Macaca mulatta: one gene and its partner. The protein of the gene in region 1 purifies or fractionates together with the protein of each later gene. This does not show direct contact. Links are inferred from orthologs where the notes say so. Each region holds a gene or a part of one and is shown in the gene's direction. Other genes may lie near its edges. The genes, in order: KDM6A and PAXIP1.

Region 1 (15,530 bases):
TGTGCCACCACACCTGGCTAATTTTTGTATTTTTAGTAGAGGCAGGGTTTCACGATGTTGGCCAAGATGTTGTCAATCTCCTGACCTTGTGATCGGCCTGCCTCGGCCTCCCAAAGTGCTGGGATTACAGGCGTGAGCCACTGGGCCCGGCCTGCACTGGTAATTTAAAAAAGTCTCAGCGTTGTATGTACCGCACTGGAAACACTGCCAAGTTGTAACAGTATCGCTGTGATTTGTAGGGAACTGAGCAGCAGGTCAAAATGATGTGAGTGCCATGTACACTTTCTGTTGCAACTATTCCATTCTATATTGTTGCATGAAAGCAGACATAGATAATACTTAAATAAGCATGACTCTGTTTCAATGAAACCTTTTATATGGAGACCAAAAATGGAATTTCATGTAGTTTTCATCTGAGATAAAAACGGCTATATAAAAACAGGTAGTGGGCTGGATTTGATCTATAGGGTATGGTTTTCTGACGCCTGGTCTAGCAAAAGGGTCAGGTTGCCAGCCAGCTAGCCAGTATTCACTAAACTTGGTGCCAAGTGCAGAGCCCAGGTGAAAGCAAATCTGTTTACAGCAACAGCATGAACACCAATAGCAACCCTACAATTATTATTTCTCTCTCTAAAATCTTTTAATAATCCACTGTAAACTTTCGCATGATTCTTCAGCATTCCATTCTAGACTCTTCGTGGTGCTCTCTAATTTTTCAACCTCAACTCCTGATTTTTCCCTTATCCTCTTGGCCACAACCACACTCAACTTCTTGAATTTATCAGAACTCCCATATTCTTAGCCTTCTGTGTGCTTGCAGGTATGTTGCTGCCTCTGCCTGGAATGTAAACCTCCCTATACCCACTTTCCAGCTCCTACCAATCTATCTTTTTTTTTTTTTGAGATAGAGTGTCGCTCTTGTCAACCAGGCTGGAGTGCAATGACGCGATCTTGGCTCACTGCAACCTCTGCCTCCCGGGTTCAAGTGATACTCCTGCCTCTGCCTCCCGAGTAGCTGGCGCCCACCACCACGCCCGGCTAATTTTTGTATTTTTTTGTATTTTATTATTTCATTATTTTGTAATTTTTTTTTGTATTGTTAGTAGAAACGGGGTTTCGCCATGTTGGCCAGGCTGGTCTCAAACTCCTGACCTCAGGTGACCCACCAGCCTCGGCCTTCCAAAGTGTTGGGATTACAGGTGTGAGCCACTGCGCCCGGCCTATCTTCTAATCTCTAGGATACTTCCCTGGTCCCTCTAGGCTGACAAAGATGCCTCTTCTGTGTGCTCCCACAGAAATTTGGGCATAGGTCATGGCACTCATCACTCTAGATTATTGTATAGAATTTATTTATACAACTCTCCAAGTAAGAGTAGCTTAATTACGGCCGGGCGCGGTGGCTCAAGCCTGTAATCCCAGCACTTTGGGAGGCCGAGGCGGGCGGATCACAAGGTCAGGAGATCGAGACCACAGTGAAACCCCGTCTCTACTAAAAATACAAAAAAACAAAAAATTAGCCGGGCGCGGTGGCGGGCGCCTGTAGTCCCAGCTACTCAGGAGGCTGAGGCAGGAGAATGGCGGGAACCCGGGAGGCGGAGCTTGCAGTGAGCCGAGATCGCGCCACTGCACTGCAGCCTGGGCAACAGCGTGAGACTCCGTCTCAAAAAAAAAAAAAAAAAAGAGTAGCTTAATTACAAGGATGATGTGAATTTTGGACGTTTTCAGCTATTATTTCTTGACGTACTTTTTTTGGCTATGCCCAATTTCTCCATTTCTCCTCTCCTTCTGTGACTTGATGACGTAAGTGTTGCATGTTTTGTTACAGTGCCACAGATCCTTGAGGCTCTATTTATTTTTTCAGTATATTCTCTCTCTGTTGTTCAGATTGGGTATGTCCTTTTTTTTTTTTTTTTTTGAGACAGGGTCTTACTGTCACCCAGTCTGGAGTGCAATGGCCCAATCTCGGCTCGCTGCAACCTCTGCCTCCCGGGTTCAAGCAATTCTCCTGCCGCAGTCTCCTGAGTAGCTGGGATTACAGGTATGTGCCACCATGCCCGGCTAATTTTTGTATTTTTACAAAATACAAAAAATTGCAGGAGTGTGCTATCATGCGCAGCTAAGTTTTGTATTTTTAGTAGAGACAGGGATTTACCATGTTGGCCAGGCTGGTCTCGATCTCCTGACCTCAGGTGATCCTTTCGCCTGGTCTCCCAAATTCCTGGGATTACAGGCGTGAGCCACCATGCCCAGCCCTTGTTAGGGGGTTTCACGATGTTGGCCAGGCTAGTCTTGAACTCCTGACCTCAGGTGATCTACCCGCCTCCGCCTCCCAAAGTGTTGAGATTACAGGCGTGAGCCACCCTGCTCAGCCAGGTATTTCCTATTGTTCTGTCTTGAGGTTCATGGATTCTTTCCTCTGTTCCCACTGTTCTGCTATTTAACCCATATGTGATGTTTATTTTGATCATTCTATTTTTTCGTTCTAAAATTTTCATTTGATTCCATGGGTGCAGTCTTTTGCCCCCGTCAGCCACATGAGAATAGGCCTTGAGCCTGGAACACTTCCTTACCGAGGGATGGAGAGTTCTCACAGCCTGTAATAGACTTGTTACCTTGTGTGGGAATATCTGCCTTTGTTTTAGACTCAATATGTGCTCCTTTGTTTCGCTTAAATGTGTGTGTCACATGGCATCTGGGCCACACCGCTAGCATATCTGTCCCCTGCAGGGAGCAGATGAGATCTTCCTGCTGCAGCACAAGAGGAGTGTGTTGGCTGTTGGAGGGACCTGTTGGCCAGGGGGGACTAATGTCCACTACTGAAGCCGGTCTTGCTGTGTGTCTTCTCTATGTGAGTAAAGTTATTCTACCTGGGGCTTGGCTGAATTATATATATTTTCCTTGGAGATTCTGGTACCAAGATGCAGTGGGCAGAAGTGCTTGCACATCTCCTCCTGACAATAGGCCACAGATGCCACTTGCTCAACAATTCTTCTCTGTATCATCTTTTTTTTTTTTTTTTTTTTTTTCTGAAACTTCCTCTTGCTCTGCTGAGGTCTTTTAGTTTTTTTGTTTGTTTTTGTTTTTGAGACAGTCTCACTCTGTTGTCCAGGCTGGAGTGCAGTGGCATGATCTTGGCTAACTGCAAGCTCTGCCTCCCAGGTTTAAGCAATTCTCCTGCTTTAGCCTCCCAAGTAGTAGCTGGGATTGCAGGAGTGCGCAGCTAATTTTTGTATTTTTAGTAGAGACAGGGATTTACCATGTTGGCCAGGCTGGTCTTGATATCCTGACCTCAGGTGATCCTTCCGCCTGGACTCCCAAATTGCTGGGATTACAGGCATGAGCCACCATGCCCAGCCCTTGTTAGATAATTTAAACATGTGATTCACTTTAGTGTTTGCATCTGTTGACCTTTTCTCATTTGAAATTATCCTGGGTCTTGCTACGATGAGTAATTTTTTGATTGAAACCTGGATATTTTGGGCAGTGTTCTGAGACTCTAGTTTTTTTTTTGAGACAGAGTTTCACTCTGTTGCCCAGGCTGGAGTGCAATGGCACAATCTTGGCTCACTGCCTCACTGCAACCTCCGCCTCTGGGGTTCAAGCGATTCTCCTGCCTCAGCCTCCCAAGTAGCTGGGATTATAGGCATGCGCCACCACGCCTAGCTAAGTTTTTTTTGTATTCAGTAGAGACAGGGTTTTACCATGTTGGTCAGGCTGGTCTCCAACTCTGGGCCTCAGTTGATCCACCTGCCTTCACCTCCCAAAGTGCTGGGATTACAGGTATGAGCCACCACGCCCAGCCAGGACTCTAGATCTTTTTAAAATCTTGTATTTTAGCAGGCCTCCTCTGACATTACTCTGGTGGGGGGAAAGGGGGCACTCTCTTGTTACTGCCAGGTGTGGGTGGAAGTCCAGATTTCCCACTCAATCTTGGTTGACAATGAGTGTAATGTCTCCTTGTTATTGCTTTGTGGGGATGGGAGTTCTGGCTCTCTGCTAGGCCTAGATTGAGGCCTCCATTCACCCTAGCTGGGCGCTGTAGGAGTCCCTCATTATTGCTCCCTACATTGCTTCCCCTCCACTGATACAATGCGGGGTGGTAGTATACCACTGGGCAGTGATGAAAGTTTTGACGACTCTGACATTAATTCAGCAGGGAGGGGTACTGACCCCTCATAACTGCTGGGTGGAAGTCCAGGCTGCCTACTGCAGTTGTGTGTGTGTGTTGTGGGGCGGGGGTGGGATGTGAGGTGCCTCATTACAGCCTGGTGAAGGTAGGAGTCCAGGCATCTCCTAGCAGTCCTAGCTCTATTCTGACAACTGAAGTTTTCATAATAACTGAAAGTCCATTTATACTTGGCTCCCTGTCTCTGCTCAAACGTAACCCTATATTTATTTTTGTCATTTTTGTGTTCTGGCTTCAGTTGGATAGTCTCTACGACAATGGTAAGTAAGTATGGGAAGAACTGGTAAATTTTTTTGAACCTATTTTTGATTGTGACATTTATGTATAGTTCTGTTGATAAGATTAGATAAACTATGACTCTGTTATGTGAGTTTTTATTATGTGTAAAGGTTATATGGCACTGACATTATAAACACACTAGATATTCCTAAGTGCTTCAGGTTAAATATTATGTTGTTTAAAAGAAAGTCACATTATTTTCCTATAACTTAAATGGGTTCCTCCTCTAATTAGTTGATGGTACTTACATAAATATTAACATAATACTGCTACAAATTATGTACTTAGTCTGTAATCTGACTTAGCTAGATTTTATATAATTTTATAATATTGATTTATCTATACATATATTAGTCGTATTAATTTGCTAAATTCAGATTAAACTTTCCCCAGCTCCTGGTGTATTTACAATTATGAAAAAGAATCAGTACTAAATGATATAAGGATTAATTTTTTTTTTTTTTTGAGATGGAGTCTTGCTCTGTTGCCCAGGCTGGAGTACAATGGCGTGATCTTGGCTCACTGCAACCTATGCTTCCCATGTTCAAGCGATTCTCCTGCGTCAGCCTCCCAAGTAGCTGGGATTACAGGCATGTACCACCACGCTTGGCTAATTTTTGTATTTTTAGTAGAGACGGGGTTTCACCATGTTGGCCAGGCTGGTCTGGAGCTAGTGACTTCAGGTGATCTGCTCACCTCGGCCTCCCAAAGTGCTGGGGTTATAGGCGTGAGCCACCGTGCCTGGCTTATAAGGCCGAAGTTTAGAATAAATGAGAGATGTAGCAATACCGGGGTTATATGCCTCAATTATAAAGTACTTAGGACTGCTTATGTGTTGGGCTTATAGTGAGGTTGTGGAGGGATAAGGAGGAAGTGATGGGTAGAGTAATAATAAATTTAGAACCCAGATTGTGAAGGCAAGAGAAAATTTTGGAAATTCCAGCCTTCCTATTTTATTGAGGTTTTTGAATCTATATTATGTGTCTGGCACTTTACCTACCTTATGGCATCTAAAATAATGTTATAAAGTGGCTGTATTTTCTCTTTTTCAGAGATGAGAGAACTGAAGCTCAAATTAGACTAAGTTGTTCAAGTCTGCCTAGCTATCAAGTGGTAGAGGTAGGATCTGAACCTAGATCTGTATGATTCTATGATTCATGCTCCTTTGGCTGCACTACTCTGCCTTCCAGTGGGGTTTACAGATTCACTTTTCATGGAAATTTATTATAAAATCATTTATTGTATGTCCCTATTTCTCTCTCCAGTTAAACATCTAAACCTTATAGGCTCCATATCTATTTTACATACATTTGACAGATAACACACTATGTAACATGTGTATGATGCAAGGACTTATGTTACCATATGAAATTTGTCCCATGCTTGATGATGGAGGATAGATCTTTGCAGTTGAAATAGACATAGAACACTGGCCTAGAGGACAGGTAACTTTCTCAAGGTCACACAGCCTGTGTAGAGCAAGGATTCGAATCCAGGTCTGCCTCACTCCAACTCCCACCCATTGCATCCACTCCTGGCTGTTCTGCTATTACATAGTAATAGCGGAAAGGTGTTGAGGAGTGGAGGGTGGGTAGCCTTTTTTTTTTTTTTTTTTTTGAGACGGAATCTCGCTCTGTCACCCAGGCTGGAGTGCAGTGGTGTCTCGCTCTGGCACCCACGCTGGAGTGCAGTGGTGCGATCTCGGCTCACTGCAAACGCCACCTCCCGGGTTCGCGCCATTCTCCTGCCTCAGCCTCCCGAGTAGCTGGGACTGCAGGCGACCGCCACCATGTCCGGCTAATTTTTTGTATTTTTAGTAGAGATGGGGTTTCACTGTGTTAGCCAGGATGGTCTCCATCTCCTAACCTCGTGATCCGCCTTGGCCTTCCAAAGTGCTGGGATTACAGGAGTGAGTCACTGCGCCCGGCCCCCTTTTTTTTTTTTTGAGACGGAGTCTCACTGTCGCCCAGGCTGGAGTGCAGTGGCACAATCTCAGCTCACTGCAAGCTCCGCCTCCCGGGTTCACACCATTCTCCTGCCCCAGACTCCCGATTAACTACGGGCGCCCACCACCACGGCCCGCTAATTGTTTGCATTTTTAGTGGAGACGGGGTTTCACTGTGTTAGCCAGGATGGTCTCGATCTCCTGACCTCGTGATCCACCCGCCTCGGCTTCCCAAAGCGCTGCTGGGATTACAGGCGTGAGCCACCACGCCCGGCTGCTTTTTTTTTTTGAGATGGGGTCTCACTCTGTCCCCCAGGCTAGAGTACAGTGGCACAATCACGGCTCATTGTAACCTCCACCTCCCGAGTTCAAGCGATTCTTTTGCCTCAGCCTCCCAAGTAGCTGGGACTACAGGCGTGTGCCACCTCGGCTGATTTTGTTTTTTGTATTTTTAGTAGGGATGGGGTTTCACCATATTGGCCAGGCTGCCCTCGAACTCCTGACCTCATGATCCACCTGCCTCGGCCTCCCAAAGTGCTGGGATTACAGGCGTGAGCCACCGAGCTTGGCAGGGATTGGGTAACTTTATAATCCTTGAAAAGGACCTGAGTCCGGAACTGCCAACTTCAGGGAGATAGTCAAATACCAGCAAAATGTCTATCTGTGTTTGTGCAAGTGTGTGTGTTTGTGTGTGTGTGTGTGTGTGAGAGAGAGAGTGTGCGAGCGAATTAGTGGGGTCAAAATTTCCTTGGCTTTGAATGTCACCATTTGCGACCAAGTTAACAATGTATTAATTTAGACGTAGAAAAGATTTGGCCCTTTGTACACACTCATTCAAGCAAAATGGAGCATCATAAAGGGAAAGGTGTTTCAGAGGAAGTAATTAAACATTAACTATAATCTATACAAAACTACAGTTTGTTCGTCTAGTTACTAGTCTCAGGGGAACAATTTAAAACTGTGCAAAATCAGTTGGGATTCCCATAGCTTCCCGCTGAATACTGGTAGGAATTACTGGGTCAGCACTGAATTGTCTTTGTCATATTTTGAAATCCAAGTTTAAATATATCATTTTTATTGGTTACAGGTGGAAAACCTATTGAAAATATACAAGACTCCGTTTATAAAGAGAATCGTCTTTACGTGTCCATTAATTTTTTCCTATCCCTGTTATGACATACAGCTTAGTAAATAAATTTGCCTTTTGAGAAGAGTAGTCGAAAGGCCTGTTTTCTTTTTTTTTTCCACTTATACTAAAGATTAAAAGCCAGACTACAGCCTTTCCCCTGCACCTGAGAGACAGAACAAAGTGTTACTGTTGTCTAGGGGTTACAAACCTGCAGGTTTTGGGGGATAGAAAGGCTTTCCTGGGCCACCAGCTGTGATGAGGATTTAATTATATCTTCTCTCAGGTCTGTCCACAAGCAGTCCCTACTTTTGTAAGAAGGCTCCACTGAAATCACGGCAATAGAACCCAACATTCTGCAGATCCCGCTTAACAATTTCTCATTGCTTTTTCTTGTAAGACTGTAATGAACTACTGATAAGACACAGGGTAAACACAGCACGAAAATCTGGCCCCAAAGTGCCGCCAACAGACAGACCTTTGGCGGTGGGGAGCCACGGTAGGCAAGCCAGGCCCCGCGGGCGACTCTTCATTCCCTCTGGCCTGGGGCGTATGGGTGGGGGTCAGGGGAGCCTTTCCCCCTTCACTTTCGGCGCGGGTGAGGTGGTCGGGGCTGCCAGCGTAGGTCTGGCCTAGGGCGGCACCCGGACCGCGGGGCACCGGGCCGGCAGCCGCTCCCCAAGCGCACTCCTCGCGGAGGCCATTATTTCCAGCAGTGCCAAAGTCTGAGCCTTCTTCGGAGGGCAGAGGTAGAGGGCCGTGTACCGCCTCCCGGCTACGCGACCTGTACCAGGCCCTGTGGGGTCCCGGGACCCCTGGAGCGCGCGCGGGACGGCCGGAGCCGCGGTCTGGGCACATCCCAGAGCTCCCAGGCAGGCAAAGGCCGTCCTTGGCATCTTCGCCCGCCGCTCGCGCCCGCCGCGGACGCTGCCGGACCTCGCCCTTCCCCACCACTCCCCTCCCCCTCCAAAGCCTGCCGTGGTTCCCGAGGTGACACGGCCCGGACCCTCCATTCTCTGCCCCAGTGTATTTAACCAGCACAACCTAACAGGAAGCTCCCTCTCGGTGACAACCCTTCCCCCGACAGACGCGCCCAGCAGCCAACCACCGGCCAGAATTGGCCTGCGTCCCGCTCCCCTCTCGGTGGCGGCCTCGGTGGGCGGGGCTCGGGCAGCTAGCAAGTTAAGTGGAGCCACGGCTGACGTGAGTCAACAAAGGTCACGTGAGTCGTGCGGGCCGCGCCGATTGGTGGCGCCAGTCGGGCGGGGAGGGGGGGTCACGGCGGCGGCGTGGGGTTCGCTGTGTGACACAATTACAACAACTTTGTGCTGGTGCCGGGGAAGTTTGTGTCTCCAACGAATCCCCCCAGTGCTCCCCAGCCCTGCGCGCTCCGGCCGTTCCCGCCGTCCCCGCCCGTGGCTGCCCCTTGCCCAACCCCGCGATGTGACCCTACAGCCGAAAGCCGCCGCTGCCGACCCGGGGGCTTCGCAGCCCCTGCCGCCGCCGCCTTCACCGCCGCCGCGTTGGGATTTTTCGTCGCCGCCGCCCGCGGCGGAGGAGGAGGCGGCGATAAAGTTGGTGTGCTGGTCCCGCGCGCAGATTGGGGGCGTCATTGCGGGCCCCGGTCCGAGGGGGGGTGTCGGCGTTGGAGTTGTGAATTCGCTGCGTTTCCATGAAATCCTGCGGAGTGTCGCTCGCTACCGCCGCCGCTGCCGCCGCCGCTTTCGGTGATGAGGAAAAGAAAATGGCGGCGGGAAAAGCGAGCGGCGAGAGCGAGGAGGCGTCCCCCAGCCTGACAGCCGAGGAGAGGGAGGCGCTCGGCGGACTGGACAGGTACGGGCCGCCGTCACTCGCCCGGTCGGCTCCGGACGGGCAGTAGCCGCTCTCCCGGGAGGCCCGAGCGCGGCTTGTCTCTGGCGGCGGCGGGGCGGGCACCTCGGTTTGGCGCTCTTCGCGCCGCCTCCGCCGGGGCCTCGGGCTCGGGCAGGGACGGGTCGGTGGCGTTCCCGGAGCGTTAACGAGTAGCCTGTGTCTCTCCCCACAGCCGCCTCTTCGGGTTCGTGAGGTTTCATGAAGATGGCGCCAGGACGAAGGCCCTACTGGGCAAGGTAAGGCAGCTGCGAGTCGGAGCGCGGACACCGTCTCCCCGGCCGGCGCCGCGCTCGCCCCGGGCCCCGCGGCCGGGTCTGCGCTCATTGTGGCCGCGGACGATGGTCGAGGGGCTTCCGGAAAACTATTTCCTGCCTCTGCTCTCCCCCCACCCACGGGTACCCAGCTTGCTCCCTTGCTAAATTGCTCTTTTCCTCTTGTAGCTGGAGGAACAGAGACGGGATCGCTTTGGGGCCGGGCTCAACTGGGTCGACAAAACTGCCTGCTATTTTACAGCTTTTTGGGGATAGGCCGATGATCTTCGAGGTGCATGTTTAGAGTCAAGGGATCGTGAATGTGTTCAGATTTCCCCCAATTCCGGACTTCACTTGCCTCTCACGGGTTTAAAGAAATTCTTTTCCTTCAAGCAGGCTGTTCGTGATGCCTACTGCTAACCAAATGTTTTAGGCTTTCTTGTGTCCCCGCTCCCAGAAGGGGGAAGTTTCACGGAGTTTAGGTCGGTGAAGAGTTTGCATTGGGCTGTTGACATGTATCTCGATCGCAATGTGTGTTACCTGAAGTTAGGTGACTTGTTTACTTTTTGGGTCTTTTTGGCATAGAAATACCGTAGTTATTTGTAAATGTGTTCTCTTCCTGGAGCCTCATTTCCTGCGTGTCTGACAGGGGAGACTGGGGAGGATTCGGGGTGTAGTCTCTGTTTATTTGTGTGGAAAGTTGTTGGCACTGTCATTTAGTTAAGTAATGGCTGCTCCTATCGGCCCAAGATGGCGGGACAGGGTGGGAGGAGAAAGTGAAGGGGGGGGGGTTTGGGGGAGGGAGTAGAGGTAAACATGGAAATAAATAGTAGCCGTGAATAAGCCTTTCCTTCGGAGTGTGTAGCTCAGTGGTGTTTAAAAAAAAATTACCCAAGATTATTTGCATATAGAATTCTTGTACCTTTCACAAGCTTGGAAGCAGCATGCATAAGCCTGGTAAATGCTTATCAACCTGTAGCACATTTAGTTACCCATCCTTAAGCTATTGAACAAAGGCTGGAGTCTCAGTCTCTAGGCATCAATTTATATTTCCTGACCAAAATCTGATTGCAATGATATTTGAATACTTTCTTCGTAATTGGGACCGTGAAAGTTGGAGTGTGTGCTATGGGTATTGCATCCGTTAGACATTTTCTTTTCTAGCTGAAATCATAGCTTTGCATTTGACACCTAGCTTTATTGTTACAGTTGAGACGGAAGTTTGAAGTAAGTCCAACATTTTATTCTTAAGTTGATTTTTTTGTTGTTCTGAATTTTTGTCTGTAGCTTGGTTTAGCAGAGTCATCAATTCTTTTTTATCTGTAATTACAAATTTGTTTTTATTTCCAAGTAATTATAAAGAGTTTTATTGCATATAATGATCAGAAAACTAAATGGAAATAATGCTTTTCAGTAAGCCCGGCCCCTTTGACCGATACAGAAAACTTGAATTAAACTTTGACTACATAGGTATTAATTGGCTTCATTGCAATTATTGTTGTAAAAATGAACAGTGACTAGCTCTGGAAAGATTTAAGCGTCAGTAATTGTTGGTCTCCTGCCTTAAAAGTTTTTTTTCCCAATTTGAGTATTTAAAGTATTTTATTTAAAAATATTTGACTGCTGTCAAAGTTGTCATTACAAAAGATTAAACATGATTTAAATTCAAAGAGCATTATTTTGTTTTGGAGGGATTATTGCTGGTCTAACATGGATTGATAAAATTGCTTGCAAAGATAATTCACTTGGAAAAGTTTGGCCAAATCGATTGCTTTTGCTTATGGTGATGAAAAAATAAATGGAATCCGATGTTTTATGTTGAGAATGTGTAAAATGCTAGTTGATTTTATGTCTTAGAATGCTCATATTCAGATAGATTCACGGTGAATAGTGCTTAACATTGGATTTCAGATTGTAATATTAAACTCTGCAGTTATTATGCACTAACGAGTTTAAATTTTAAAAAATAACCATTTTCAAATATTTTTGGCAAGTTGTGCATTACTTGATGTTTGAATGCATGCTAAAAAAGAAAAACTAGTGAAGCTTCACTATGTTTGGGGGCTTCATGATATATGGGGTGATTTGATGAATGATTAAGTAGTTTGTTAAACTAAAGAAAAAAAAATCTTCATTGCTTCAGACTCAGTGCTTGTGAGGTCCTACCTGCTTAGGACAAGATTCATCAGCCTTAACATTAAAATAAAACATTCTCTGATATGTGCTTGCAACCGCATATAGTTCTTGATTGCATCTTTGTGAGTCTGAACATACCAGTGGGGTGTGTAATGTAAAGCTTGACATTATATAACTTCGCACCCTCTGTTTGAATTGGATTCTGAATGAAGTGAATGAGCTTGAGTCCTGCTATAGGAAGTATTGAATTATTTAGTTTCATCCTTCTTTTAACAGTCCTCGAAGCAGTATTTTTTTGTGGAATGTTGAGCTATGTTGGTTTCACAATTCAGAATTCTTATTCTCTGAAAGTCTTAAGAGTTGGTTTTTCTTTACTGGGCAGGTTTAGGCTACTTTCCTGAGGGCAGATAATGGAATTGAATAACTCCCAGAATTACCTTTTTAGCTTTGATTTTTGTCCTGCCATGCCCCCCCCCCCGCCCCCGCCCCAATTTAGTCTGCATTTTGTATAACTTTTTTCCTTTCTGGCAGAAATTTAGCTATTACTACTTGTTTTCAAAAATTCTTGTTCCTATGTATGTTATTGGATTTTCTTTCAAGTTTTTAAAATTCACATTTGTATGTTAAAAAAACTGTTGACCTAAAAGCTTTAGAAAGTTGAAAGCATTAAATATGAGTCTCTTACTTGCCCCTTAACATATATACGTATATATACACAAATTACGTATGTATATGCATATGCGTATACACATATGTGAATATGTATATACATATGTGTATACGCATATACATATATACACATGCACACATGTGCACACACGTATATACATATATACACATACATATGTGTACATACGCATATACGTATATACACACATGCATGCATATGTAATATGCATATACATATACACACATGCATACATATATAATATATACATATGTAATACATGTATGTATAGTATGCACTTGTACATACGTGCATATGTAGATATGTATATGTGTACACATGCACATGTATATACATATACATATCTACATATGCATGTATTTATATTGTATGTATATGTGTATGTGTATATGTATGCGTATGTATTTATACATGTGCTTTGATACATTCATGTATATATGTATATGTATACATACGTATACATACATACATGTATATATGTATACACATGTGTATGTATAGATATATATACATATACGTATATGTATGCGTTTGTACATATGTGTACGTATGCGTATGTGTACGTATGTACATATGTATATGTGTATTCCTTTTTCCAGGTGTGCAGATAGTTTATCCAGACCACTGATTTCTCATCGTCTCCCAAATGTGTTTGTCAGATTCAGTTATATTAGAGTCATTGAAATAATTTTTTGTTTGTAGGCTGGCCATTTGATATACAATGCCTGGGGTTTTGGATTAAAAAATAAAGTAGTTAATAATATTATTATTTTTTGGTAATGTTTTTAAGGTTGTGAACAGCTAGAGCCTGCGTAATTAGAGTTCTTGTAATATAGCGTGATCTTGAACAGTTTGCTCTTGAATGCTGACCCTTAATCTTCTGGTAATGTAATAATTCAAGATTCTTCTTTTTAAAATTTCAGTGGAGTTATTGAAAAGTAAGCAAAATATTTTAACATAAATTAACTTGTGACTTTTTTAGTACAGTTTTGAAAACCTTTTGGGTTAATTTTTTTAAGTAGGGTAAGGATTTGAGTTAGAGTATATAGGAATATATACCATAAATGTAAGTTTAAATATAGTAGTACTATCAAGTATAGTTATAGTAATAATGCTTGGGGACTGGGGAATCTTATCTGTGTCAGGGAACTATTGCTAAAATACTTACACAGTTTTGACCAAAGTATCTTATTTTTAAGTTTTTCTTAAATACTCTTACTGAACTTTTTTTGGTAATTCTGTTAGTAGAAAGATTATACAAAATACTTAGAAGTTATAGATTGTATATCACTTAAAAATGTATGTGCTTTTTTTCCCTAGGACATATTAGCATTAAAACAGTTGGTGTTTTAAATTTTTTTGATAATAGAAGTAGTAGTTTGAGATCCATTGAAACATATTTTCTTAAATTTGGTTTGCTGGCATGTTTAGTGGGGGAAATTATTAGGTCAGTTCTAGAGGTGGCTTTTTTAAACTGTAATATTTGGATGTTGGTTAAAAACCTTCTCATTTATGTGTGCTTTTTGTTTGCTGGCGCTTAAAGGGATACAGGTGGAGTATCCTTTATCCAAAATGCTTGGAACCAGATGTGTTTCGGATTTGGGATTTTTTTGGATTTCAGAATATTTGCAGAATACATACCAGTTGAGCATCCCTAATCCGAAAATCTGAATTCCAAAATGCTCCAATGAGCGTTTCCTTTGAGTGTCATGTTGGTACTCAGCAAGTTTTAGATTTTGGATTTTCAGATTGGGGATGCTCAACCTGTAAATTCATTTCCAGTGCCAAAGATGGCTAGTGTTTTGGTTAGAAAAGTCATGAGACCCTGTCTCCAAAAAAAAAAAAAAGAAAGAAAACCCAAAAAGAAAGTAACCATAGAAATAATGTCATGCTTTGTATTTGAAAATTATGTCTTCAATTTAATATGTTTTAAAGAGTTTTCTAGTTTGGAAGATTGTCTTCGGAACACTTGTAGTCTTAATTTTTTACGTGGACAAAGTCTTATATACTTGATATTTCCTAAAGTTTTGATATGTCCCTGGTAATAAAGGTATACTAAGATTATAGAACATGTTTGCATATTTGGGCACAAATTAGAACTGTAGCAATACATAAACAAGCACTTTTAAAGTTCTGGTTTTCTTTTTCAGTGAATAATTCTTTCTGTTGAATCAATTACAAATTGAAATAGCTAGAGAGCATTTGACGGCCACCTCTAGATACTTTTTTTGTTTTGTTTTGTTTTGTTTTGAGATGGAGTCTGGCTCTGTTGCCCAGGCTGGAGTGCAGTGACCGGATCTCGGCTCACTGCAAGCTCTGCCTCCCGCGTTTACGCCGTTCTCCTGTCTCAGCCTCCCGAGTAGCTGGGACTACAGGCGCCCGCCACCTCGCCCGGCTAGTTCTTTTGTATTTTTTAGTAGAGACGGGGTTTCACCGTATTAGCCAGGATGGTCTCGATCTCCTGACCTCGTGATCCACCCGGCTCGGCCTCCCAAAGTTCTGGGATTACAGGCTTGAGCCACCGCGCCCGGCCACTTTTTTTTTTTTTTTTTTTTAAATTTGAGACACAGTCTTGCACTATCCCCAGGCTGGAGCGCAGTAGAGTGATCTCGGCTCACTGCAACCTCGGCATCCCAGGTTCAAGTGATTCTTAGGCCTCAGCCTCCCGAGTAGCTGGGATTACAGGTGCCTGCCACCACACCCGGCTAATTTTTGTGTTTTTAGTAAAGGTGGGGTTTCACCATGTTGGGCAGGCTGGTCTCAAACTCTTGACCTCATGTGATCCGCCCGCCGTGGCCTCCTAAAGTGCTGGCATTACAGGTGTGAGCCACCACACCTGGCCAGTATCTTAAGTTGTTAAGGAAAACTGCTTGAGAGATGAATTTTTGTGACTTAGGTGAAGTGATGGGTCATGCACTTTAAACCAAAATGAAAGTTCATTGCTTGGCTAGCTGCAGAGTAAGTCTTACTCTGACTTAAATTATGTAACATTTAGTTTTTGTTTACATAGTACGAATGTTCTGCATCTTTGAAAGGATTTCTGTTAA
Region 2 (14,992 bases), on another chromosome or scaffold:
CCACCTAAGCAGCAGGTATTAGTAGTACACGATTCTTGGGATGATGGCAGCGGTTGGCTGGCATCCAGAATAAGGTAGAGGCAAACATGCCCTTTAGATGTTGGACAGCAGACAGTTAAGATGGTGGGGGAGAAGATGAGTAGAGAGAGAAGATCATCGGGTTTGAGGAGATTAGATTTTCAAATAGTTGATTAATAGATAGGGAAGACATTCTTCGTACACATTGGGTTTCTGGCTTGAGAGGTGGGTACCTGATAAAATGCCTAGCTGGCATTCCTCAAGTCCTGGGTGGTGACAGTGCCTTGTAGCTGAGCAGCAGCTGCCTGTTAGAGAGGGGTTCTCGGGCCTGCTTCGGTGCCCACCACTCCATGCTACCTTGCTGGGTCCTGGAGGAAAACAGGCCTGCCACTGACCATAGGTCTTGGGGGTGGTTGGGAATGTGTGGCTGAGGAAATGGGGAGAAGGCCACCAAGATGAGGAGGTCCAAGAGCTTCTAGGCCAGGGATTGTCCAAATGGGTCCCCATGAGAGCGCTGGGGTCAGCCAAGTTTAGGGAAAAGGTAGATGCACAGAAGGAGCAGCTCCAGCACCGCCCAGTGCTGAGGTTTCTGGCCCTGGTCTCTGCGCATCCATGTCCAGGCAGGTGGGCGGGATAAAGCCACAGGGCACAGTCTCAGCCACAGAGCAGCAAAGTGATGATCACACAGTCGTCCTGAGAACCAGAGGATGTCGTGACAGGTAGAAAGTAAAGGCCATAAAGAATGATAGGCTAGAGACAAAGAGAATTCTAGCATTTTTGACCTCAGACATGAGAAGAGTGATGATACTGCTGAGGTGGAGGAATTGAGGTGACCAGTCCTGGCAGGAAGACTGGGACCACACAGTGGACCTGTCCTGTCAGCAGTGGGGTATGTGGGACATGGGCCATAAAGATCTCTCATAGGGTTGGTGTGAGGAATCATGGATGAAGCCTCTGGCACTTTGAGAAATGCTACTTTCTCACTTCCTTTAGGTGAGAAATTATGGACAGAAGTCATCCATTTGAAATAGGAAATGTTCTTTGCTCTTCATTTATTTGTGGTATCAAAAAGTGTTGGTCAGTTACTGCTGGTTAGTTACTACTTATTCCTAATATATATGTTTTGGTTGTTTTTTGAGACAGAGTCTCACTCTGTCGCCCAGGCTGTAGTGCAGTGGTGCGATTTCTGCTCACTGCAACCTACACCTCCCTGGCTTAGGCGATTCTCTTGCCTCAGCCTCCTGAGTAGCTGGGATTACAGGTGCCCATCACCATGCCTGGCTAATGTTTGTTTATTTTTATTAGAGATGGATTTTTGCCATGTTGGCCAGGCTGGTCTTGAACTCCTGACTTCAGGTGATCCGCCCACCTCAGCCTCCCAAAGTGCTGGGATTATAGGCCTTATGTTTTTCAAATACAATGGATGTTGGTTTAAATATAATCTTCCGGCCGGGCATGGTGTCTCAAGCCTGTAATCCCAGCACTTTGGGAGGCCGAGATGGGCGGATCACGAGGTCAGGAGATTGAGACCATCCTGGCTAACACGGGGAAACCCTGTCTCTGCTAAAAAAATACAAAAAACTAGCCTGGCGCGGTGGCGGGCGCCTGTAGTCCCAGCTACTCGGGAGGCTGAGGCAGGAGAATGGCGTAAACCCGGGAGGCGGAGCTTGCAGTGAGCTGAGATCCGGCCACGGCACTCCAGCCTGGGCGACAGAGCGAGACTCCGTCTCAAAAAAAAAAAAATATATATATATATATATATTTTTTTTTTTTAATAAATAAATATATATATATTTATTTATAAAATATATAAATAAATATATATATAAATAAATAAACTTCCTTAAGTTTGTATTTGGATATAGAGACAAAATAATTTACTTTGAAACGGAAAGAATTGACTGCAGTAGGGGTTTGAGCACATCTCTGCAGTGGAAATTGTCCTTAGGAGATAAATTTGGTATACTCAGCTGTGTGCTCTAGCGGTGGAAAACGGAGAAGGCTCCATCCATTTCTAGTGAGTGAGTGGATTTGGTCACTAGTGAGAATCGCAGAGGTTTCTGAGAGACTTTCGTCAGTGCAAGAGAACATAAGGACATTTTACTGCTAGATGTGAGGAAAATGACTTTTTGAAACTTTAGAAATATGAGACAGATTTAGTTGAACTAATGTTGGTTGGGGGGGCGTAACTTACCATCAAAATCCTGTTTAAATTGCAAATTTATAGTGGTTAGAAGCCATGTGGTGTGTATCATAATGCATTCTGTATATGGAATTCAGTAACTCAGTATTAATGTAGTATAAATGAGGATTATGACAGTTGTAATGGAAAAATTTTAACTTGACATTCATTCAGAATTGTTTGTAGCATAGCACAATTATGTAATTGAGCAATTAAGATTTGTTTTCATACGTTCTTCAGGACTAACGTGTTTCCAGCCAGAGGCAGATCAGATGGTTGAAAAAGTGATCAGATGAATGTGGTAGGGGTTTTGGGTGGCATCTCGATGGCTGGTCTTGCAGATGCCTCCTCTTCAGTCAGGCCTGCACCTCTCGCTGCCTCAAGTGGAAAAGGTTCCAGGCCAATGGCTGTCTTCATTTCTAGCCGGGACTCTCATCCTGAATCTCCATCTGTTCTTCTCCCTTAATGGGCTGGGTTAGCAGTGGACGAGGACCCATCTTAACTGAAGCCTGTAGTAGAAACAGCTCCTGTCCCACCCAGGCCTCCCTCAGCCCTCTGAGATCAGATGGAGCACTTTCTGCAGGCAGCAGACCCTGCTGAGTCCTCGTGGCCAATCTGAAAAACAGGAGCCTCTGGCCTCTGTTCTGTCCTGATGTCTGCTGCTGTGTTTGTCTAGGTCCTGAGCTCCCTTTCTCCTGGAGTTGGCAGGTGTAGAGGCGCGGGGAGCAGCATGTGGTGAATGACTGGTTCAGCCCTGTCCACCTGCAGATGGGCATTTATTTCTTTACTATCCCTCAGAGTTCCATGGGCTGTTTACATATGAGGGTAAAAAAGTAATATGTGTACAAAATTCAAAAATTCAAATGATACCAAAGGACAGAGTGAACAGTTAAACTCTCCGCCCCCTCCCACCCCTCATTGCTGTTTACCTTCTCAAGAGGCAGCTGCTATTTCCAGCAGTTTGCCGTGTAGGGCTCATGGCTGGTGCCCACCAGGCAAGCAGGTGCCCCACACATGCATGCTTCTCTAGGGGGTGTTCGCACAGCACCAAATGCTGCTGGGCTCCGGGGGATGGCATGTGATGGGGTGAATTTTCCCCTCTTCTTTTCTGGATTTTTAAAAATACTTTTAAATATGGAGATGAAACAGTTGTCTTATTATTTTGTTTAAAAGACATTTTTCTGCTTAGAGTTCCACTCAGGTGTTTCTGAAGTCTTGAATCTCATAGAGATGTTTCATACATAAGGTGATTCTAAAGATGGTTGTACCTAAGCTCTTGATTTTGACTTATTTCAATTCTAAACACAATTATTTATCACTAAACCCAAAATCTGTTACCCTTGCAGGTCATATAACCTTTGCAATTTGGAGTCTGTTTAAGTGAAAGATACATGTTAGAATATGTTTGAGATTTTGTTATAGTTCTGATATGTGTTAAAATCAAATTCCTAGAATTTTGTTTACATTTTAAATGCTTTTATTAGGGTTAAAAGTTATATGGATTGAGTTTAGTAAAATCTATTTTTACTGATTTCCATGACCATAAGAAGTTGGTTTCAAATTTTTGTTGCTTGAGCATGTGGAACAAAATTCATTGTATAACATGTATCTTTTGTTGTATTCAGTACACTACAGGATATTAAAAAAATAACTTGCTCTTCTTGGTGGGCATCTGCTGGTCACCGTCCTTCTCCTACTCCTCAGTGTACGCAGAACTCTCAGCCTATTCCCTGTCATTGTGAAGCAGAAAGAGCTAGAAAACAAAGAGTCTGGTTTGAATTCTTTTTTTCTAGCTTGAAATATTTTTGTCCCACATGAAGAACTCAGTCATTTTTGAGGAAGCATCATTTCCCAACTCTAATGATGAGTTCTTAGTTGGGAGAAACATCACCATTGAAACAGCTCTGGTGGTGTCTTAGCTGGCCTCCTTTTCTGAAGAATGCCAGTGTACATAGCAAGTTGACAGTGGAGCGAAGGGCTCTTGGAGTCACAGCTTAGGTCATGCTGCTTTCATCAGGAAGGTGATTCACTGAGAACCTTTCTTTACTAGACTCTGGGCTGTAAGACAAGAGGAAATGGGAAGTGGCAGCTGTGGCGAGAAGGTTTGAGGTGAAGCTGAACCTGATTACCAGATGCTTTCACCACCTGTCATTCCTCAGTGCATTCTTGGGCCAGGAGAGGGTCTGCGGAGCTGATGTGGGCGATGGGCAGTGGAGAGGCGCTGCGGACAGTGCAGGGAGCACCGAGGCTTAGCCTCCAGTTGTGCACAGGACTCACACGCCTTGCTCTGGCAAGCACATCAGCCGTCTGAGTCTTTGTCACTTTAATTCGTTAGTTTACTCCATTTTACTAACGTAGTTTCAAATTTTGGTGGTCTCAATATGTGAATGTACTTTATGATATTGGTGTTACAAAATAAATACAAAAGAAAATGCAGTATTATTTTGAAGTTTCCAGTCATTTGCTGTGTCTGCTTGGTTGAATATTGTTAATAAATAGGATGGTATTATTCTCATGACTAAGAAATTATCATTCGTCTGTTTCAGGAACTATTGATAATGTTTCACCTAACTTGTTTTGTAGATCTTACAGACGCTTTCAGCACCTACGAAAAATTTAGAACAGCAGGTGAATCACAGCCAGCAGGGACATACAAATGCCAATGCAGTGCTGTTTAGCCAAGTGAAAGTGACTCCAGAGACACACATGCTACAGCAGCAGCAGCAGGCCCAGCAGCAGCAGCAGCAACAGCACCCGGTTTTACACCTTCAGCCCCAGCAGATAATGCAGCTCCAGCAGCAGCAGCAGCAGCAGCAGATTTCTCAGCAACCTTACCCCCAGCAGCCACCACATCCGTTTTCACAGCAACAGCAGCAGCAGCAGCAAGCCCATCCGCATCAGTTTTCACAGCAGCAGCTACAGTTTCCACAGCAACAGTTGCATCCTCCACAGCAGCTGCATCGCCCTCAGCAGCAGCTCCAGCCCTTTCAGCAGCAGCATGCCTTGCAGCAGCAGTTCCATCAGCTGCAGCAGCACCAGCTCCAGCAGCAGCAGCTCGCCCAGCTCCAGCAGCAACACAGCCTGCTCCAGCAGCAGCAGCAGCAGCAACAGCAGATTCAGCAGCAGCAGCTCCAGCAGCAGCAGCTCCAGCGCATGCACCAGCAGCAGCAGATGCAAAGCCAGACGGCGCCACACTTGAGTCAGACGTCACAGGCGCTGCAGCATCAGGTTCCACCTCAGCAGCCCCCGCAGCAGCAGCAGCAACAGCAGCCACCACCACCACCACCTCAGCATCATCAGCTTTTTGGACATGATCCAGCAGTGGAGAGTTAGTAATGGAGATTTTTTTTTTTTCCCTCTCTCCTAAAAGTCTTGTACTCACATAAATGCTTTGAGAGTGTTTGAGTGTGGGGTAAGGATTCATGTCAACACAATTATTACAACATGGAGAGTGTGAGTCTCATACCTAACAAAGAATATCGTTACCATGGGATAATTATGCTTTCTTTTGTACTTTGGGACATCATATGCTGAAGTGAATATTGGTGTCCTGTAGAACACCTAGGCTGCCACAGGGACTCCTCAGGGTATTTAATGGCCAGGCATAAGTTACGTTGGTTTTAGTTTTTAACGATTATTTGATGTAGACAGATAACTAGTATCTTTTTAGCAATATTCCCCATGCACTCTGATTACTGGTAGATATGTCATGGTCAAGACTGATTAACATAACAGAATCACATTGCAAGGCACCACTGTTTAACTTTTGTGCAAGCATATTCATAGGGTTTTAATTTTCTTTTTCTTGTATAATTTTACCCTAGTTCCAGAAGAAGGCTTCTTATTGGGATGTGTGTTTGCAATTGCGGATTATCCAGAGCAGATGTCTGATAAGCAACTGCTGGCCACCTGGAAAAGGGTGAGATTGTGCCTGGAGGAAGGACGACTGTATCTGAAGATGCTTCTTTCTTATGTAGATGTAACTATGTTCACTGAGCTGCATTCACTGAGCTGCACCTGCATGTGTTATAAATGTGTGATGGGCATTTTGATTAACATTCCCTGTGGCCTCAGGCACAGCACTTTTCTGGGCATCAGTTTTCTCAGCTGTTAGATGAAGATGGTAGACTTCTTATTTTTTCAGCTTGGAAATTCCAAGGGGCACTAATTATATGTGTATAATGGGGACGATGGGAATAAGTTCAGGTTTTTGGTGTCCTGGGAGAGGGACCATTAATTTGTGTGGATCTCAGTCATTTCTCTTTCTCTAGAGGTAACTGTTAGAAAATCCCAGAATCTCTAGGACCTCAACTTCTTCCAGCCCAATTGTGAAACTGGAGTTAATTTAATTATTTATTATTTTGCATGGTGGCCTTTAAAGAAAAGAAATACTTTTTCTTGCATTCCCCAAAACAAAACTGAGTCAAAAAAAATTTTTTTTATAAAAACTGAGTTTAAATGTACCTCTCATATATCTTGAATGTGCTTCACTATAAACATCTCTAGTGCTTAAACCCCACCTGTGTGCCAAGCATGCTGCAAGACCTAGGGAATATGTGGGAAATCACAGACGGAGAAAACCAAAGAGCAGTGCGAGAGGCAGCCACACAGCTAAGCAGAGGCAGGGTGGCAGATGCAGGCTGTTGTGAGAGCCTGAGAAAGGACCTTCACCCATCATGTTGTGGGGTGATGTGTTAAGAAAAGACTACTGGGGCCGGGCGCGGTGGCTCAAGCCTGTAATCCCAGCACTTTGGGAGGCCGAGACGGGCGGATCACGAGGTCAGGAGATTGAGACCATCCTGGCTAACATGGTGAAACCCCGTCTCTACTAAAAATACAAAAAAAATTAGCCGGGCGAGGTGGCGGGCACCTGTACTCCCAGCTACTCGGGAGGCTGAGGCAGGAGAATGGCGTGAACCTGGGAGGCGGGGCTTGCAGTGAGCTGAGATCCGGCCACTGCACTCCAGCCTGGACAACAAAGCCAGACTCCGTCTCAAAAAAAAAAAAAAAGAAAAGAAAAGACTACTGGGAGAGGTGATTCCTGAACTGCTTATTATAGGATGAGTAGGAGTGAGAATTAGAGGGGAGGATTTTCCAAATGGTGTAGCACGGCCAAAGGCATGTGATTGGGGAAACTGACAGGAGGGTGCAAAGGACGGTGCCTCAGTGGGATCCACAAGGCAGGGGTTGGGGCAGGAGCCAGGGCTGGCATGTCTTCCAAGACCTTGTTGATGCGCCATGTGGTGGAGTTTAGATGCAGGTGAAGTGATCAGCTGTGCATTTCAAGTAGTAAAGGGTTGAATCTGAAGGTGACCAGAGAGATGACTGTGGTTGGCTGAGGAAAGAGGCGGATGGCATGTGCTAGGGGGAGGGAGGAAGGGGGCAGTTCTGAGAAGGACAGCAGCAGAGATTTTTTAAAAGTCAGAAGTGTTTGAAGGCAGCACTGAGAAACTGTCTTGAGAAGTACGACAAAACTCAAAGATACCAAAGTTAGTGGAGGAAAGTTTGGGTTTTTTGTCTTGTTTTCAAGTTAAGGATTTATCCAAGAGGTCTAACATTAAATAGGAGCTCGGGAACAGAGAAAATGAAGGCAAGAACGTTATGAAAGAAAATACCTTTGCAGCTGAAGGCCATGTGCCCTCAGATAGAAAAGAAATATAAGGAGAGCCGTGATAAGGCAACTGGGAACGTTCACAATGCTGGTAGAGAAAACTGTTTTCTCTCAAAGACAAGCTCACTGGAGGGGAAACGTGGACAGATCAGGAGTCAGGGCGATTTCGGGAGCCTCCAGTCCAGTGCGCGGGGGCCAGCAACGGAGCAGCTTCTTCCATTTTTGAGGGAAAATAATTTCCAACCTAAAATAACCTATAGAGCCTGTCAGTCCTAAGACTATGGAAGGAGGATATTTGTACACTAATGGTCGAAAATGTACCTCCGTTATATTCTTCCTTAGGAAGCCACTATGCCAGCAGAGAGTGAGACCTGGTAGCCAGGAAATGAGGCATTTGACTCAGAGATGACAAGAGAGTTCCTAGGATGGAGGTGAAGGGAAACGCTAATAGATGAGAAAGTAGGTGTAGAGAGAACTAGACCTGGGACCGGAAGAGAGACTTCCTGGAGGAGCAAGCAAACAAAAACACTGGTGGATTCAGGAGAGACATGTACGGCTGACCCCTGAACAGTGTGGAGCCTAGGGGTGCTGATCCCCATGCAGTCAGAGATCTATACATCACTTTTGACTCCCCAAAGCCAGAATTACTAATAGCCTGGTGTTAACCAGAAGCCTCAGTGATAAACAGTCAATTAATGCATATTTTGTATATGTATTACCATATTCTTACAATAAAGTAAGCTAAATAAAAGAAAATGTTATTATGTTATTAAGAAAATCATACGAAAGAGAAAATATAAGTTACAGGAGACTCGCACTGTCAATTCCACCATATTCAATGACTAAGTCTAGACCATATTTAAGACTAGGGGAGTATACAGTAATTTGCAGACATACTATAAAACCGCCACATGTACATTTTTCATAGAGTTTGGGAATGAAATAGTGAAAAGTATATAGAAAACTAAGAAAAGGGCAAATTCTGGGGGGCTGGGATAAGGAAGTGATTAGCACCAGGGAAAACCAAAGTTTATACCAGAAAGGAACTCTCATCTTAGGCTGCCATATTAAGCCATGTGGCTGGGCTGCGTTAAGTCACTGATGACTGATGTAAACAAGAGTCTGGCTATAACCAAATCAGGAAGGCTTGAAGAGTGTGTGTTACGGTGGGGAAGGGTGTGCACTGTAGGAGGTCAGTAGATGGCCACGTAAACTAGAGAAAAGGAACTAATGTAAAGTGTTAGTAGAATATATTCATACTTTCGGAAGAAACAGCTTCAAGTGCTGAACGTGCTTCCGGGGAGTGAAAAGCAGGGATTGGCGAGGAACCTGTGGTTCTGTCCTGTGCCTCATTAAACTATATTTATGCTTAGCCGGAGGAAAAATAAACATGTACATCTTAAAAGTAGGAAGTGAAGCAATCGGTTTTTTTAGGGGGCAGGTCTTTTTAAAGTTTATATTTCACCCAATAGGCTGTCAAATTCTCCTTTTTCCGTGTACAATATTTTGAGTTCTGAAGAATGCCCGAGGTCGTGCAGCCATCACAGCCCGGATGCAGAGCAGTTCCTCCTCCCAGAAAAGCAGATCTGTTTTGAGAAGCAACTGTTGGGATTTACTAATTTCATTCTGATTTGTGTTTTATTTCCCTTTTCGAGGGAGGTGGATCTGCCCACCATAGACCTTTGGCAGTATCTGAAGATCTTTAGTAGTCGCGGCTAGGGGGCTGCTGCTGGCATAGGGTGGGTAGAAGTTGGGGACACTGCCAGACATCCTCCTCTATACAGGACAGCCCCCACTTACCAGAACCCCCTGGTCCAGAGTGGCAGTTATGCTGAGCTTGAGAAACCCTGGAGTGCATTCCATTTTTCTTCTCTTGTTTCCTGGAAATTCAGATTAAATTTAGAGTACTGGAGTTCATTTTCATTATATGGTGCTGGGTAGAAAAGTCTGTAAATAGAACTGTTACATGTCCTTAATACTTTGGGGAAATACATGATATAAATGTATGATAGAGTCTTTTAATAGCTGCCTTATTTGAAATTGGAATTCTCCTCTATTCTGAGTGATCGAAATTGATGACTGCGTTGGTCGGGTCTTTGTGTGTAGATAATCCAGGCACATGGTGGCACTGTTGACCCCACGTTCACAAGTCGATGTACGCACCTTCTCTGTGAGAGTCAAGTCAGCAGCGTGTATGCACAGGTAAGGAAAATAACCTTAGCAGCGACGAGGAGCAAGGTCTGGCATTTTTTATATGCAATCTTAAATGCTGGTGATTGATTGTTATTTTTGGAAAGGGGTTTTTTCTACCTCTGAAGATAGGAAAATTGCTTCTTCCTGTGATCAGTTCTTTGGTGGGATTGATACCTTTTGTGGGCACCATTGTCTTTAAGCGATGGAGATAGAAAGGGATGTTCCTAGGTGGTGGTAAGAAAGGGCGGACAGGAGGCCGAGGTGAGCAGATCACGAGGGCAGGAGTTTGAGACCAGCCTGACCAACATGGTGAAATCCCGTCTCTACTGAAAATACAAAAATTAGCCGGGCATGGTGGTGTGCACCTCTAATCCCAACTACTCAGGAGGCTGAGGCAGGACAATGGCATGAACCCGGGAGGCAGAGGTTGCAGTGAGCCGAGATTTCACCACTGCACTCCAGCCTGAGCGACAGCGAGACTCTGTCTCAAAAAAAAAAAAAAAAAAAAAAAAAAAAAAAAAAAAGAAAGGGCGGACACTCCCTGCAGTCACCATTCCAGCTGCTCTCTGCACAGTGAAGGGAGGCAGGATTCCGTACTGGTGTGTGACTCGCACAGAAGCGTGCAAAGACAGGTCCCTTACAGAGCTTTTCTAAACCTGCCGGGATGTGGGCTTTCTCCTGATACTACCTTCCTGTGCTCTCTGAAGTTTCACTTCTTTTCAAAAAATTATGCTTATTGTAGACAGATTATGTATATGTGACAAATGACCTCCAAGACACCCCTCTTAAAGAGGATAGCCGTTCACAGGGTCTGTTTTTCCAGTAAAAATGTGGAAATACTTCTGAGACTTTTTTTGTTTTCCTGTGGTTCATCTTAGGTGGATGGTTTTTTGTATTTTTTCTTATGTGCAGCCCTCTGTGTTCTTACAGGGCACTTATAACTTTGGTGGTCCTACGTGTAATTTCACTCATCACTAACGTTATTTTTGAGATTGTCGTAGAATTTGTTGCTTTTGTCCTCAGTCGTAGACTCTTGTTTGCAGATGGATAGTAACATTTTTAGGTTGTATTTCAAATAACCAGCTACATGGTTTTAATTTGTTACTTCAATCAAGTGCTAGATGTCATGAAATTCTTTTATAGGGCTTCTAATGAAAAGGGCATTGTAGTTATACAACCATAGAATTTTCTTTAATCCTGCAGCAGAAAAACAAAAACAACACACCTATAATTTTATGTTTGACAGGCAATAAGAGAAAGAAAGAGATGTATCACTGCGCACTGGTTAAACACAGTCTTAAAGAAGAAGAAAATGGTACCACCGCACCGAGCCCTTCACTTTCCAGTGGCCTTCCCACCAGGAGGAAAGCCGTGTTCACAGCACGTAAGATAGAGTCCTCGCGTTCCATTTGTTAAGCCATCCTTCGACTTTGGCGAGTAATCACTTGCTAGCACTTACCTGAGGCTCCCGCGCTGGCTTCCGAGTCAGAGCTTCTCTGTGTACTTTTGCCCGTTTTATAAGTGCCTGCTCATAAGAAATAGCTTGCTTTCTTTTAGTTCCTTGTAACAGTCACAACGTTCTGCACATAGTAGATATTTAATGGATTCTCCCGTCTTTGACACTATTTAAAATCCAAAAATAAATCAGATGTCTTGTACCAAAGGCAGCCCCTAGTGGGTGGAACTAATCAATAGTTGTGGGTCCTCCCACCCAAATGATCTCAGCATTTCATGTTCATTCTTTTTCTTCTTCCCCGTGAGGGATGTGTGTGTAACCTTTTGACCATTAATACAGTTCTGGTCTTGAAAGTTTTAGAAATGATATTACCAAATGTGTTCCATAATGCCAAAAAAATAGTGAAAAAATATATGTCAACTAAGAAGTAGAAGAAATAGTACTTGGTTTTGTTTTTTTGTTTATTTTGTGTTTATCTTATTTTCTCTCTTTTTTTTTTTTTTTCTTAGATTATTTCTGTGACTGGATTTGTTGATAGTGACAGAGATGACCTAAAATTAATGGCTTATTTGGCGGGCGCCAAATATACGGGTTACCTATGCCGCAGCAACACAGTCCTCATCTGTAAAGAGTAAGTAAATTTTTGAAACCGTTTTTAATCATAAATTTACACACAATATAGTGGCTATTTCAATAGTTGTGCATTTTTTAGTGTGCCATAGTTTTGTGGTAGAAATTTGTGGAAATCAAAGTCTGTTAAACAAAGTATGACAATGATATAGTAATGTTAGTAGAAATACCTAGAAAACATTTGAATTAATGAAATTTGAATTAACAAAACAGGAATAGGGTAAAAGTAAGACTCCTAGGTGGTTTTGTAATTCTATTTGAGCCTTGAGGTGTATATTTCATTGTCATTCAGGGTCACCCTCAACTTTGCTAGGATATGCCTCCCACTTCTATTATGAGAAATTTTTTATTGCCTTTTGTTGGAAATAAATGTACATTTGGACAGTTGACATCTCTAACATTTAATAAATATGTTTTCTCCTCAAAAAATAAAAGACCAACTGGTTTAAAGTATGAAAAAGCCAAAGAGTGGAGGATACCCTGTGTCAACGCCCAGTGGCTTGGCGACATTCTTCTGGGAAACTTTGAGGCACTGAGGCAGATTCAGTATAGTCGCTACACGGCGTTCAGTCTGCAGGATCCATTTGCCCCTACCCAGCATTTAGTTTTAAATCTTTTAGGTAAGTGAAATTCTACATGCTGCAAATCTTACTTAAATTAAATCATTAGCATTACTTCTGCCATCTTTTTATTCATACTAATTACTAGGCCTGGCTTGAGCTTTCTAATCAGTTTTTGACTCATTTCCAATTTCCTTTCTATGCTCTTTCTTCCTTCTCCCTACTCTGCCCAGGATTTTTGTTTGTTTGTTTTTGTTTTTGTTTTTTTGAGACAAGGTCTCACTTCGTCACCCAGGTTGGAGTGCAGTGATGTGATCATGGCTCACTGCAGTGTCAATCTCCTGGGCTTGAGTGATTTCCCCACCTTACCCTCCCAAGTAGATGGGACTACAGGCATGTGCCATGGTTTAGTATTTTTGTTTGCTTTTGATGAACTCTTAGAGATGGAAGGAGCGCTTGAAAGCTTTTTGATAGTCTTGCCTCTCAGGCCAGTTAATCTTTTGTCCAAATTGCTCCCTACCTTACAGAACGTTCCCTGCTTTCCTAGAATTGACGTCTGTCCTCTTTGTCACTGTTGAGCTTTGACTGACTTGCTGTTACATCTTGAATGCCATCATGGCTCCTGTGATAGGCAAGAAGGTTTGTGCCTGCTAGAGGCCAGACTATGTGAAACCCAGACTTGGACACAGGCCTAGAAATGTCTATCCAGACAACCAAACCAGCAGTGGGAGGGTGAATGCCATGAGTTTAGACATGGCATTTGCTTTGTTGTTTGCTGCCAGTGGTCTTAGTGCTACTTCACCCGGACAGCATGTGAAACGAACGCAGCAGCATTCCCTCACCTTGCCTGGAAAGCTTTCTTTAAAACTTCATTATAGTACTTACATTTATCCTTACTAAGTATTGTCAGCTAAGCCACCTGTCTGTTGAGGATTATCAGGGAAGACTTTTACAAAAAGGCCTTTTTATTTGAACAATGTATCTATCATAAAAAATAATGTGTTTCTTTCTTTAGATGCTTGGAGAGTTCCCTTAAAAGTGTCTGCAGAGTTGTTGATGGTATGTCAAATTAATAACCTTACTTTGGCTATTACTGTACTATTAAAATGCAGTAGGAATGTATTTGTAATAAATTAAAAATTAGTAATTTGTCAACATGATAACAAATGAATTATCTACTCCAGTAAATCCTAGGATTGATTTTTCTCTTGTTAGGATGTGATTGTCATTATTTTTATATATACATGTGAGGGGCTCATTTGCTTCAGAGAGCCGTGTGATTGCTTATAGAGAACAGTAAAATCAAAGATGATGTCTTGTTTTTCGTAGGGTTAGAAAGGCAAGAACTTTAAGAACCATTGGAAGCAATGGATGTGTAACCTACTTGAGGCTACAGATCAGAACTTAAGGAGTCCCGGGTCTCGTGATGAGGGGAAATGTTTTCATAGTGTCCTGAGTTGGGAGTCACATCACAGTGCTTGAGGTCTCTGCTTTTCAGGATAGGCCATTCTTGAAGTGTGAGGGCCATTGGTTGTTAGTTACAAGACAGAGAGGTGCTTTCTGCATTCTCTCTCATCTGTCAAGTGTGATGAATGGAAAATCAGTTGTCTTTTCTCTTTTCCCCACATTCATATTTCCTAAGTTACAGACAGGACTACTTCAATATCACTTTAGACTTTGTCTGCTGTGACTTCCCACTGTTTGGCTGAACATCAGCACTTTGAGAATAGCAGATTTTTTTACTGTTGGCCAATAGTAGTGTAATTTTAAGACTTTGGTTTATGTTCATGTTGTTATATACTAACCTTTGTTTTTAAAAATGGATTTCCATGTCATGGACCCACCAAGTTTTCACCACATTTCTATTGTATACGGAGGTAATTTAGGGTTTGTGCCACTTGAACAACTAGCTGAGGAGAATAGTGTCATGAGGATTAGCAGCTAACACCCAAGCCTGTGTTTCTGGTTATTTATCTACTGACTTACTCGTTTTTCAGATCTCATCTGGAAGCTGCTGATAATCATCCCGAGTCTCTGAGGAAGCCCCCCAAGCCACAGTCTTGTTTTCTTCTTGCTAATGATAATGTGATCGTAGATGTATTTTTTTTCCTAGCTTAAACTAGTAGTTATGATTTTAATTTTAAAGACATGACCAGTTTGGACACATCAGCAAAAGCAAATATTCTCCCAGTTCATTTAGCTGAAAGGAATTTTATGGTGGCTTTTAAGCTCACACTGAGAAAGTGGTCATCAGAGTTTTCCTCCCAAACTATATGGCTTATATTCTGAAGTTGTCAGGGGCTCCAGATGCCAGCTTCTCTGGTAGCTTTGTATCAGTAATT

What was found.
Region 2: the proteins of KDM6A (region 1) and PAXIP1 purify together in Homo sapiens (affinity purification with mass spectrometry; 6 studies listed by BioGRID and IntAct, with this or other methods). This does not show direct contact. The link is inferred for Macaca mulatta from reciprocal best matches to the Homo sapiens genes KDM6A and PAXIP1.

Annotation. Positions count from the first base shown.
Region 1 is NC_133426.1:44,835,065-44,850,594, forward strand, and holds the start of KDM6A (lysine-specific demethylase 6A), read left to right. Parts: upstream 1-8,850; 5' UTR 8,851-9,208; coding exon 9,209-9,369; intron 9,370-9,580; coding exon 9,581-9,644; intron 9,645-15,530. UniProt on the Homo sapiens protein: Histone demethylase that specifically demethylates 'Lys-27' of histone H3, thereby playing a central role in histone code. Demethylates trimethylated and dimethylated but not monomethylated H3 'Lys-27'.
Region 2 is NC_133408.1:194,435,540-194,450,531, reverse strand, and holds part of PAXIP1 (PAX-interacting protein 1), read left to right. Parts: intron 1-4,783; coding exon 4,784-5,528; intron 5,529-6,024; coding exon 6,025-6,119; intron 6,120-9,917; coding exon 9,918-10,013; intron 10,014-11,250; coding exon 11,251-11,388; intron 11,389-11,969; coding exon 11,970-12,091; intron 12,092-12,525; coding exon 12,526-12,710; intron 12,711-13,665; coding exon 13,666-13,709; intron 13,710-14,992.